Caenorhabditis elegans: one gene and its partner. The protein of the gene in region 1 interacts with the protein of each later gene in a pairwise test. Each region holds a gene or a part of one and is shown on either strand. Other genes may lie near its edges. The genes, in order: rep-1 and rab-5.

What was found.
Region 2: the proteins of rep-1 (region 1) and rab-5 interact in a two-hybrid assay, tested with the Caenorhabditis elegans proteins (one study listed by BioGRID).

Annotation. Positions count from the first base shown.
Region 1 is NC_003281.10:1,568,250-1,576,425, forward strand, and holds the start of rep-1 (Rab proteins geranylgeranyltransferase component A 1), read left to right. Parts: upstream 1-2,056; 5' UTR 2,057-2,074; coding exon 2,075-2,190; intron 2,191-3,174; coding exon 3,175-3,244; intron 3,245-3,294; coding exon 3,295-3,525; intron 3,526-4,303; coding exon 4,304-4,455; intron 4,456-4,550; coding exon 4,551-4,758; intron 4,759-5,497; coding exon 5,498-5,676; intron 5,677-5,977; coding exon 5,978-6,137; intron 6,138-6,698; coding exon 6,699-6,795; intron 6,796-6,844; coding exon 6,845-6,922; intron 6,923-7,083; exon of another isoform or gene 7,084-7,156; intron 7,157-7,180; exon of another isoform or gene 7,181-7,253; intron 7,254-7,525; exon of another isoform or gene 7,526-7,601; intron 7,602-7,622; exon of another isoform or gene 7,623-7,695; intron 7,696-7,831; coding exon 7,832-7,959; intron 7,960-8,176. Other genes in the region: Y67D2.2 (Ubiquitin carboxyl-terminal hydrolase), read left to right, coding at 1,507-1,602. UniProt on the Caenorhabditis elegans protein: Substrate-binding subunit of the Rab geranylgeranyltransferase (GGTase) complex. Binds unprenylated Rab proteins and presents the substrate peptide to the catalytic component B and remains bound to it after the geranylgeranyl transfer reaction.
Region 2 is NC_003279.8:9,306,467-9,310,928, reverse strand, and holds rab-5 (small monomeric GTPase), read right to left. Parts: upstream 2,488-4,462; 5' UTR 2,485-2,487; coding exon 2,394-2,484; intron 2,098-2,393; coding exon 2,009-2,097; intron 1,806-2,008; coding exon 1,494-1,805; intron 1,294-1,493; coding exon 1,159-1,293; 3' UTR 708-1,158; downstream 1-707. Other genes in the region: uev-3 (Ubiquitin-conjugating enzyme E2 variant 3), read right to left, coding at 37-175, 540-600; nmat-2 (Nicotinamide/nicotinic acid mononucleotide adenylyltransferase 2), read left to right, coding at 4,110-4,181, 4,229-4,338, 4,383-4,462.

The DNA of each region.
Region 1 (8,176 bases):
CACCCCAAGTGTCCTAACTCGGAGCCAATTTTTTCAGGCATTTTTCTGATCTCGGTTCTTTTCAGTTTTCAATTGAGCTTTGTGTGCGGATTTTGCTTTGTTTAGAATACATTATTAGAAAACAACAAAAGTTTGGAAAAAAATCCGCCCAAAAAATTTTTTTTTGTCGAAAATTCTTGATTTTTCCTACAAAAATGATGTAACCAAGTGTAAACTATTTTTACACATATAAATCATTTGAGTTAAAAATTTGAATCTCAAGAAATATTCAAAAAACTAAAAAATTATCCGAAAAAATTGTATTTTCTACTATCATTTTAGTGTATCGAACTAAGTTGATATGTTTTGTATGTCGAAAAATAGTTTACACTTGGTTACATCATTTTTGTAGGAAAAATCTAGAATTTTCGACAAAAATTATTTTGAACATTTTTTGACGACCAACCAAAAAAATTTTTTTTTGGGCGGATTTTTTTCCAAACTTCTGTTGTTTTCTAATAATCTAAACAAAGCAAAATCCGCACACAAAGCTCAATTGAAAACTGAAAAGAAGCGAGATCAGAAAAATGCCTGAAAAAATTGGCTCCGCGTTAGGACACTTGGGGTGGTCAAAAACTTTCGTGACTATTGTCAAGTGAAAGATCATGGTTGATAACGTAAATTCCCAAAGTTTCATAAAAATCGATACGCAGCGAACAAAGTTATGATTTTTGACCCGGAACTTATTTGGAGACCTAATATATATATACCAGCCGTTCGAACGCGCTGAAGCGCGTGCTCCGACTGGCGTACTCAAAATTGAAATCAAATTCTAAAATTTCTAAGCCTTTCTCTGTAGATGGAACGTTTTTTTTCTGTTTTCCGGAAGTTTTCGAGCAACATAAATATTATATAGCTGAGTGTTTACAACTAAAAAAAAACGTTTTTCAAATCATATAAAACTTTTTTCCGGTCCTTTCCGAGAGTTTTTGGCGAGCGTTTCTGGAAATTATAACAATTTTGATCTTTTTTTTTCAAATTATTGAAACTTCAGAATATTCTAGGAGTATCAAAACTTGAAGAAGTTTTTTTTTTTGAACTTTCCGAAAGGTTCTAGAAATTTGCAGGTTCCTGAAATTTTCCACGAAATTGAACACTTCAGAATTTTCCCGATTTCTCTAGAAAGTTTTGGAACATTCCAGAATTTTCTCGAATTTATTTTTCTCAGAAAATTTGAATTTCCAGTCAACGAAGAGCCTTTGTCACAAAAACGACATATTATTAAAATTCACAGAATTTCCTAAATATTCCCTTCCTAAACATTTTCTCGTGACCCATGTGCTTCTACTCGTATTGGTGGCATAAAAACTGTATTTATTCACAGTTTCAGTCTTAAATTGGCCGAAAATGTGAATAAATACCGTATTTCTGCCAACAATTTGACAATAGAGCACATTTGTCACTCGGAGATGCGGAAGCTATGCCCAAATTTTCATTTTTCCCCCGAAAACTTGTATAATTTTTCAGGTAACCCGTGTACCGTACTCCCACGTGGCAGCCTGTCAAAGTTATATGCTATTCTACGAACGTGTCAAACCTCATCGACTCTACGAAAGGATGTAATTTCTGGATTTTTATTGATTTTTTTGAGAAAATTTTTTTTTTGGAAATTTCGCAATTTTTTTCCCAAACAATTGATTTATTTTGTTGCTAGATTCCCCTTATTTTTTGTTGTAAATTTTAACATTTTAATGACACAACGTGTAGCATTTCCTTTAAAGTTTATTTTTTGTGCAAAAATTCAGAAAATTTGAAAAAAATATTATAACTCTTCCCCCCGTCCCGTGCCATTTTTGTTAAGTTTTGTGTGTGTGTGTGAAAATGAAGATTTTTCGTGTTTTTTCCACTTTTTTTAGTTAATTTTTAAAGGTTTTCAGCCGTAAATCAAATATTTTAATAGAAAAAAAAATTTTTTTTGGAAAATTTTCAAAAAAATTTTTTTTTTTTTTGGTTTTTTTCAATTTTTCAAATTTAAGCATGACATCTCTTATTTTCCAAAAATTCAAACTATTTCCAGCTTTTCCAGCTCTAAAAAATGGACGAAAAGTTGCCAGAATCAGTGGACGTAGTGGTGCTGGGCACCGGACTACCTGAAGCCATTCTGGCTTCAGCTTGTGCTCGAGCTGGCTTATCTGTGCTTCATTTAGATAGGTAATAGGCGAACTAACATTTAAAAAAAGTTTAAAAAAATGAATGAATGAAATTGAAAAAAAAAAAATTTTTGCGAAAAAAAAATTATTTTCGGCTAAATTTTTTTTTTAATCATAACTTTTCCTCAAAAATACAGCAAAATTCGAATTCTCCACGTCGCCAGCTTCAATTTGATCCCCAAATTGCCTATATTCCGCTGGTTTTGAAGTTTTCGGGTCCCGCCACGAAAACTCCTCGGGTTACTGTAGTTTTTCGCGGCGGGACCCAAAATAAACGGATTCTGGGCATGATGGGGGTCATTTTGAAGCTGAGAACCTGATGAATTCAAATATCACATTAATTTTCGGGAAAAATCAGAAAGTAAAAATTTTCTGACCAAGTTTGTGGAAAATTTTTCGGAAAACGTCAAAAGTTTCCAATTTTCGAAAAATGTCAGCCAACTGATATCATATTCGAGTTCTCCACGTCACTAGCTTTAAAATAACCCCCCACCATGTCCATATTCCATTGATTTTGATTTTTTTGGGTCCCGTCACGGGTTACTGTAGCACCGATTTCAGCTGTGTCGATTGTCAAAATACACCGAACCTAGGCGTGTTGGGGCTCATTTGAAAGCTAATAACGTTGAGAAATCAGATTAATTGTTCGTTTTCGGAAATATCGAAAATTAAACAAATTTTAAGAAAAAAAAATATATATTTGCCAAAACATTTTTCAATTTTCAGAAATTTAAAAAATCAGAATTCTTTCTGAAATCTTCACGTTACCAGCTTTCAAATGACCCCCATCATGCCCATATTCCGCCTACTTTGAGAATTTTGGGTCCCGCCACGCGGGTTACTGTAGCACCGATTTCAGCTGTGTCGGTTGTCAAAATGCACGGAACCTAGGCGTGTTGGGGGTCATTTGAAAGCTGATAACGTCTGGAATTCGAATTTCATACTCGATTTCTTGAAAAATTCGAAATAAAAAATATTTTTGCAGAAATGAGTACTACGGCGGTGATTGGTCATCATTCACAATGTCGATGGTTCATGAAGTGACTGAAAATCAGGTTTTTATTGATTTTCAGCCAGAAAAACCCCAAAATTTCCGAATTTTCAGGTAAAAAAGCTGGATTCCTCGGAGATTTCCAAGTTATCAGAGCTTTTGACTGAAAATGAGCAGCTCATTGAGCTCGGCAATCGAGAAATCGTGGAAAACATTGAAATGACGTGGATTCCACGTGGAAAAGACGAGGAAAAGCCGATGAAAACGCAACTGGAAGAGGCTTCACAAATGCGGCGATTTTCCATCGATTTAGTGCCGAAAATTCTACTTTCCAAGGGAGCAATGGTACAAAATTGCAAAATTACACCTAAATTGGAGAACTTGATGTTTTGCCCTAATAGTCATCAAAAAATCAATTTTTGCCAAAAAAAAAATTTTTTTTGAAACTTTTTTTCTGAAAAAAAAGAAAAATTTTTCTAAAAATTCAATTTCCTCATTTAAAACTCTGAAATTCGAATTCTCTACGCCACCAGCTGTCTAATGACACCCAACATGCCCAGGTTCCGACCGCTTTGAAAATTTTGGGTCTCGCCACGCGGGTTACTGTAGCATCGATTTCAGCTGTGTCGAGACTGCCAAAATTCAAAATCAACGGACCACGGACATGTTGGGGGTCATTTGAAAGCTGATAAAGTGGAGAATTCGAATTATTTGCTAGTTTTCTGAAATATCGAAAATTTAAAAAAATTGAAAAATATTTTCCAAAAAATTGTCAATTTTCAGAATATTCAAAAATTAACATTTTTTCCGAGATCTTCACATCACCAGCTTCAAAATGACCCCCATCATGCCCTGGTTCCATGCAATTTGATTTTTTTGGGTCTCGCCACGCGGGTTACTGTAGCACCGGCTTCAGCTGTGTCAAAACTTCCAAAAGTCAAAATCAACGGAGCCGGGGCATGTTGGGGGTCATTCGAAAGCTGAGAGCGTCGAAAAATTCGAATTTCCGCATTATTTTCAGATATTGAAAAGTTTGACAAAAATTTATGGGAAAATTTTGAAAATCTTGAAAAAAATTTGGAAAAAAAAAACGATTTTCTTCCAATTTTTTGAATTTTTTCAGGTTCAAACACTCTGTGACTCCCAAGTATCCCATTATGCCGAGTTTAAGCTTGTCAACCGGCAGCTATGCCCAACAGAGACCCCAGAAGCCGGAATTACCCTAAATCCGGTGCCATGTAGCAAAGGAGAGATTTTTCAGAGCAATGCTTTGTCGTAAGGGATTTTTTTAGGCTGAAAATCGATAAAATATCGATTTTCTTTGCCAAAAAAATCGATTCGCAATGATAAATCTCCAAAAATTCTTCCAGAATCCTGGAAAAGCGAGCTCTTATGAAATTCATCACATTCTGCACACAATGGAGCACAAAAGACACGGAAGAAGGCAGAAAACTGCTCGCCGAGCACGCCGACCGCCCGTTTTCAGAGTTTTTGGAGCAAATGGGCGTTGGAAAGACCCTGCAGAGCTTTATTATTAATACGATCGGCATTTTACAGCAAAGACCCACTGCGATGACGGTGAATATGCGGAAATTACTGTTTTTTAGAAAAAAATCTGAATTTCTAAAAAAATTGAAAATGAAAAAAAAATCCAAAATTTTTTTTTTTGCACGAAATTTACTTCAATTTTTTTCAAAATATTATTGAAAAATTTGAATTCTCGCCACTCTCAGCTTCAAAATGACCCCCAACATGCCCGGGGTCCGTTGATTTTGAGTTTTGGCAGTCTCGACACAGCTGAAACCGGTGCTACAGTACCCCGCGTGGCGAGACCCGAATTTTCAAAATCATCGGAACCCGGGCAGTATGGGGGTCTTTAGAAAGATGATGATGTGGAGGATTCGAGTTTTGAGTCGATTTGAAAAGAAATTTATAATTGAAAAAAATTTGAGCAAAAAATTATTTTTTTTTTCGAAAAAATGTTGATTTTGTCTATTTTGCTAAAAATTTTTGAAAAATTCAAATCTCTAACGCTTTCAGCTTTACAATGACCCCCATCATGCCCATTTTCCGTGCAGTTTGCGCTCCGACACAGCTGAAACCGGTGCTACAGTACCCCTCGTGGCGGGACCCAAAATTTTCAAAATCGATGGATCATGGGCATGATGGGTGTCATTTGGAAGCTGGTGATGTGGAGAATTCGAATTTCGAGTTGATTTTCATGTCAAATTTGAAATTGAAAAAAATTTTGAGAAAAACAAATTTTCAAAAAAAAAAAAAAATTTTTTTCAAAATTTAAAATTTTTCCAAATTCCAGGGAATGTTGGCATCATGCCAGTTCATGGATTCTGTCGGCCATTTCGGTCCATCGCCATTCCTCTTCCCACTCTACGGATGTGGAGAGCTCTCACAGTGCTTTTGCCGGCTGGCAGCAGTCTTTGGGAGCTTATATTGTCTGGGACGGCCTGTACAGGCTATCGTGAAAAAAGATGGAAAGTTAGTGAAGAGAATAAGCGAAAAATCAATAGTTTCTGCGAAATTTGACCTAATTTTCAAGTCAAATTCCCAGCAAAACTAGTTTTATACAATATTCCGTGACTCATGTGTTTCTACCCAGATTGATGGCATAAAAACTGTTTTTATTCACATTTTCAGCCTTAAATTGTGCTGAAAATGTGAATAAATACCGTATTTCTGCCAACAATTTGACAATAGAGCACATTTGTCACTCGGAGATGCGGAAGCTATGCCCAAATTTTCAATTTGTCGGAAAACCAATTTTCTCAAAAATTTCCAGAATTACGGCTGTAATTGCCAATGGAGATCGTGTAAATTGTCGCTACATCGTGATGTCCCCGAGATTTGTCCCCGAAACTGTTCCAGCTAGTAGTACGCTGAAAATCGAGAGAATCGTCTATGCGACGGATAAATCGATTAAAGAAGCCGAGAAAGAACAGGTTCCGGAGCATTTTTTGGAGTTTTCCACCAGGAAATTCGATTTTCCCGCAAAATTCCACTCTAGAATTCAATTTCCCCGGGCTTCTAGCTCAATGTTACAATTTTTGGGGTTACTGTAGCGCCAAAAGTACGTTGACCTCGGTGCTTGCGTACCTGAGACCGAATTTTACGAAATTGAGCTTAAATTGGCTGAAAATCATGTTCCGGGGTGAATTGGCAACGGGAAATTCGAATTTCGCATTGAAAACCACCTTGGTCAACTGGTTTTCGAGAAAAATTTAATTTTACTCGAGAAACCAGTGCTCCTAGTTGATTTTCAATGCAAAATTCGAATTCCCCGTTGCCAATTTACCCCGTAACTGAAATTTAAGCCAATTTGGGTTCAATTTCGTAAAATTCGGTGTCAGGTACGCAAACACCACGGGGGCATCGCGTACTTTTGGCGCTACAGTAACCCCGAAAATTTCAAAATTGAGCTAGAAGCCTGGGAAAAAATAATTCTAGAGTGAAATTTTGCGGGGATTTCGAATTTCGTATTAAAAATCCGAAAAAATTTTCAGCTAACCCTCCTCAATCTGGCATCTCTCCGGCCCGACGCCGCAGTCTCACGGCTTGTTGAAGTGGGCTTTGAAGCCTGTACGGCTCCGAAAGGACACTGTAAGCCCCCACGTTTTTTCCTAGAAAAATAAAGATTTTTTTTTTGCAGTTCTGGTGCATGCAACGGGTACCCAAGAAGGAGAAACAAGTGTCAAGACTATTGCAGAGAAGATTTTTGAAAAAAATGGTGATTTTCGCGGAATTTTTAGGGGGAAATTTTGAATTTCCACTACCGAAAACCTATTTTTCGCTTAAAATTTGAGAAACTTTCATGGAAAAGTCATTTCCAAGTGAATTTTCCCTAATTTTAGGTGAAAAATTCGAATTCTCCGCTATAAAAAACCTATATATCCCCACGGGGAATCGAACCCTGGACCTTTTGCTCCAAAGGCGAGCCGCTTAGCCACTGCGCCACGCGTTGCAGCTAACCAGTGATGCATGTTGCACCCCGTGGCGCAGTGGCTAACAGGCTTGACTTCGGAGCAAATGGTCCCGGGGTTCGAGTCCCCGCAGTGGTGTATAGGTTTTTCATAGCGAACATTTCGAATTTTTAACTTAAAATTCGCAAAAATTGAGTTACAACCTAGTTTCCTGAAATTTTCGCTCGAAAATGATACAAAATCCATTTTTTTGAACTATTAATATATGTTAAGCTTCAAAGTTCTAAAATAGAGACTCCAAGAGTTGAAATCTCAGCAAGGATTCAGTGAAATTTTGAGAAAAATTATTTCCAAGTGAATTTTCCCCAATTTTAAGTGAAAAATTCGAATTCTCCGCTATAAAAAACCTATACACCCCCACGGAGAATCGAACCCCGGACCTTTTGCTCCAAAGGCGAGCCGCTTAGCCACTGCGCCACGCGTTGCATCACGCGCCGCTGGTTCGGCGCACCGGTGGCGCAGTGGCTAACAGGCTTGACTTCGGAGCAAAAGGTCCGGGGTTCGAGTCCCCGTGGGAGTATTTAGGTTTTTCAGGGCGGAGATTTCGAATTTTTCACTTAAAATTCGCGAAAATTGGCTTGGAACCCGGTTTTTCTTTAATATTTTTGAGTTTTTCGATTTTTCCTAGAAAAATCGATATTTTTTCTGCATTTCAGAAGTGGAACCCTACTGGAAGATGAGCTTCACCGCGAATTCCATGAAATTCGACACCGCCGGAGCCGAAAATGTCGTCGTCGCGCCGCCAGTTGATGCGAATTTACACTATGCTAGTGTGGTGGAGGAGGTTAGGGCGAAAGAACGATGAAAATTGGATTTTTGAGCTGAAATTGAATTAGAAATTCAAATTAGAAAAAAAAATTTCGAAAAAATATAAAAATTAAAAAAAAAAAATTTTTTTGAAAAATTTTTCAGAAAATTTTTTTTTTCGAAAATTTTTTTGAATTCAATTTTTATCGATTTTTCTGAATTTTAAACACCTGCTATATATCCATTTTTTCCAG
Region 2 (4,462 bases), on another chromosome or scaffold:
TTAAAAATTAAGAATGATTTTTTTAAATGTGACTACGTTTTTCGTGGTTGTGGTTCTCGATATTCTGGAAGTGGTTTTCTTTGTGGAACTTCTGATGGTCTTAGGAATGTAACCTCATTCCGTGGAGTTTCATCTGATGGTATTGCAATTGGACGGGCACGTCGACGTGTTGCAGCTGAAAATTAAAAATTCAAAGTTCCTACTAGAAAGTTTGATTTAAAAAGCTAAAATTGATGACAAAAATTACAGAACTATTTTCTTTGTGTTTTTTCACTACAGGCACGGTACCCGGTCTCGACACGACAAATTATTGTTAAATATAAAAAGGTGCGCGCCTTTAAAGAGTACTGTAGTTTCAAATAATTTTCCATACTTTTTCATTGCTTTTCGAAAAAAAAATCAGATACATATTTAAAAAATGAATGTAAAAATTTAAAAAAATTAAAAAATCTCAGATGATTTTGTATATTTTAAAGTAAATTTATTTAATTTTTAAATTTAACTTTCTTTTGAATTCAATTGATTTGAAAAGCATTTACTTTTTGTGGGCGTTGGTTCTGCTCGAAGAGGCGGTCTACTTGTTCCAGGTTGATCGGACATTTGTATTCTTCAAATAATTCTCACCTTGTTGTTTTTCAGAAAATTGAATTCAATATCTAATATCGATCGTATACGAAGGGTTTTGTGTTACCAAGTATATACATTTTCGAACTTCAATTTATTCGGATAGATTCTGAAAGGATGCTATAAAATTTTGAAAAAAAATTGACAAAAAGGTGGTGAAACTTTGACGAGAAAAGTACTAACAGTGGGATGGTGGGGTTCGGGACTTGGATGTTGATGGTGAGAAGCAATAAATAATTGGAACATTTGAATGAAAAAATGGGAGTTTTCGCATATAAAAAGCAAATGGGCAGAGCCAATTGTGCAAGCTCATTCACTGGCTGAACATTAGTCAGAAATATACAAAAAATGAGAAAATATGGGTTAAAAGAGTGAAAATAAATAAAGAAAGCGAGCACAAAAAACTTGTTCAAAAGTGTTTTTTTTTCGAGGGGAAAACAATGACGACGATCACAGGCGTTGGATTCAAAAGATATATAGAACAAAAGAGGAGCGGAGCTAGAAGGGTTGATGGTACATGAAAAAGTCGTCAATTTATTTACAGCATGAACCCTTTTGTTGCTGTTGTGGTTGGTTCATATCGACAGTTCCCGTTGGTTCACCCTGTGCTGGTCCGATTGGCAACTTTTTAGCTATTGCCATGAAAATATCGTTCACGTTCATTGAGGTCTGTAATTAAATAAATAGAGAATTGATTTTAAATTGGAAATCTTAAATTTCTCATTCATTTTTTAATGGAGATTAGTTCAAAAACTATCTTCGCAGAAAACAAAGTTTATTGTTATTTTTAATAACAATTTTAGTTTTTGATCTATTTCAGTACTCTGTTAACATGTTTTTATTGTCAAAATCCAAATTTTCTAATGTACCTTCGCAGATGTCTCCATGAACAAGAGAGCATTGTCCTCAGCATAAGCATTAGCTTCTTCATACTCAACAGTTCGCTTATTGGCAACATCAGCCTTGTTTCCAGCCAATGCCATCACAATATTTGGAGATGCCTGTCGCTGCAGTTCTTTTACCCAATTTTTCGCTTTTTGGAAAGATTCTTGATTGGTAATATCGTAGACAACAATAGCCGCTTGAGCTCCTCGATAGTACATTGGTGCCAATGAATGATATCTTTCTTGTCCTGCAGTATCCCAGATTTCGAATTTAATTGTTGCATCGTCAAGGCACACCTGAAATTTCGAAAATTCAATTCTTAATTATTAACGTTTTTACGTCTTTCAATATAAAATCCGTGTTTTTCGAGCAAAAATCTCCGCAATTATATTATTAAAAAACAATATATTATTAAAATTCGAGATTTTTCATTTTAGTCAAAATTTTTGTTCAAATTAGGGAAAATTGTTATATTTTCACAAAAAATTCAAAAACTCACAGTTTGAGTGAGGAACGCAGCACCTATAGTCGACTCCTGATACTCGTGAAATTGTCCCTTGACGAATCGCAATACGAGAGATGATTTGCCTGAAATGATAGTTTTCTGTGATGTTTAGGTGAAATAAGAGAGCATATACGTCATATGCTAGCAACTATCAGATGACCCATAATTCTAAACATATAAACAATCAAAAGACGAAGAATTAAACTTCGAAATCAACGCAATTTCGAAATTTTGTGACGGTTTTCAGCAACTGCGAAATATGCTACAGACAGAACGGAGTAGAATAAAAAAATCTTTATTTTTTGGAAAACTGTTCTTGTTTGCTTTTATTTTCTACTCCAACCTTTAGCGGTTTTTTCCATTTTCAGTATCAACTCACCTACAGCACTTTCTCCGAGAAGAACGAGTTTGAACTGGCACGTTCTGTTTGGACCTCCAGGCCGGGCGGTTCCTGCGTTTCGGGCGGCCATTTTCTAAATACAAATTTGTTGAATTTATTACATTAAAAATCGATCGAATAAATTACAAGCAAAAAATAAGCATAATTTCACATAGGAAACGATATGAGGGAGGATTCAGCTGAAAAAATATCAAAATGGTTTCAAAGAGAAATAATGTTGCATTTTTCTTTCCAGAAAGAACAAAAAAAATAATGTTCGACTAAAATTCTATATCTCAATTCTCATTGATAAAACAATTTTGAATCCCTGAAATTTCTAGAAAAATTTCTAAAAATCCTTGTACTTAAAAAGTGGAAAAATTGATTTGAAATGAGCAATTTCCGAAAAAGATTGAAGGCACGCGAGAGACTGAAGAGTGGTAAACAAGCGTATTATTGATTCATACGGGTGTCTCACGAGGAACGAAATTGTGATGAAATCGATAAAGAAATACGGGTTTTGATCACTATTTTCATCAATTCAGTTTGCTTATCTCTGCATATTATTCATCACGTGTAATTTGATTAATTGATAAACTTTTTTCTCAAGTTTTGATGAAGTTTGAGATTAAAATTAGTTTTCTGGAAGCATCCAAAAGTAGTGAACGAATTAAATTGCAGGATATATGAAAATCAATAAAACTAAAAAAAAGAAATATTTGCGCAACAGACATCGATGACACACACGGGCTTCGTCGGGGGTAGCCAATTTGGCTGCGTACCTTCTGGGGTGGTGACGGGCGCAGTTGACTGAGTATTCAATGTTTGTGTGACATCGCAGACAGTTAGACAAAAATGGATGAAAACGGGAGGAGGCTTTTCGGTGCGCGCGCTTTCGAATTTATATTTTTTCGCGCTAGGCCAATTTTACATTTTTGATGAAAATTATTTTTCATTTCGAAAAACTTTTATTTTCCGGTAATTTTTGGCTAAATTTAAAAAAAACGCGCAAAATTAAGCGGAAAAAGTGTGAAATAATAGAGACCCGAAGAACTCGGGGGATGTCCAACTGGGGGGATTACCAACTCGGGGATTGGCCCCGCCTACAGAACCGTGGCTTGCAATACGCCTATTTCTGCAACTGCCGCACGGTTTTAAAACTGTATTTTTCTCAATAGAGCGAGAAATAACAAGAAAAAATAATTTTAAAACCGTGCGGCAGTTGCAGAAATGGGCGTATTGCAAGCCACGGTTCTGTGGGCGGGGCCAATCCCCCGAGTTGGTAATCCCCCCAATTGGACATCCCCCGAGTTCTTCGGGTCTCAAATAATATTCAAGAAAATTCAAAAGAGACTACTGTAGCTGAGTCGTTGCGAGACAACTTTTTTTGTTTGAGCCATGTCCCTTTAAGAGTAAACTGTATTAGAATGTTTTCACATTAAAATTCTCATTTTAAATTTGTTTCATGCTTAATTTTAATATTTCCCAATCATAAAAATTTGTCGATTTTGTGAATAAAAGGTTCAATAAATAAGAAATTTCCTAAACGTATCCTGATTTTCCACCTGACTTGCATTTTTTGACACACTTTTAAAAAAAATTTTTCGTTTCTGATCACTCTCGATATTTTTCATATTTTTTCAAAAACGTTTCGTTCTAAATAGCTCAGAAGAAAACAAAATATTTTTCAGTTTCAATAAATATTGTGATAAAACGATGAAACGAGTCGCTCTTCTTGCCGTCGGGTCGTTCAATCCACCAACAATTGCACATTTACGTATGCTTGAGGTAATCAAATAAAAAAAACATTAAATGTATGATATATGAATTTTCAGGTCGCCAGGTCACATCTCGAAACGATTAATACACAAGTTGTTGAAGGAATAATGAGTCCCGTTGCTGATTCATACAACAATAAACCAACGCTTATAAAATCTAATTTTCGGTAGAAAAAGTTTTTAAGACTTGATAAAAAATGTTCTAATTCAGCATTCAAATGGTTCGAGCCGCCACAAAAAGTTCTGATTGGATACGAGCCGATGACTGGGAATGTACTCGAACCACGTGGA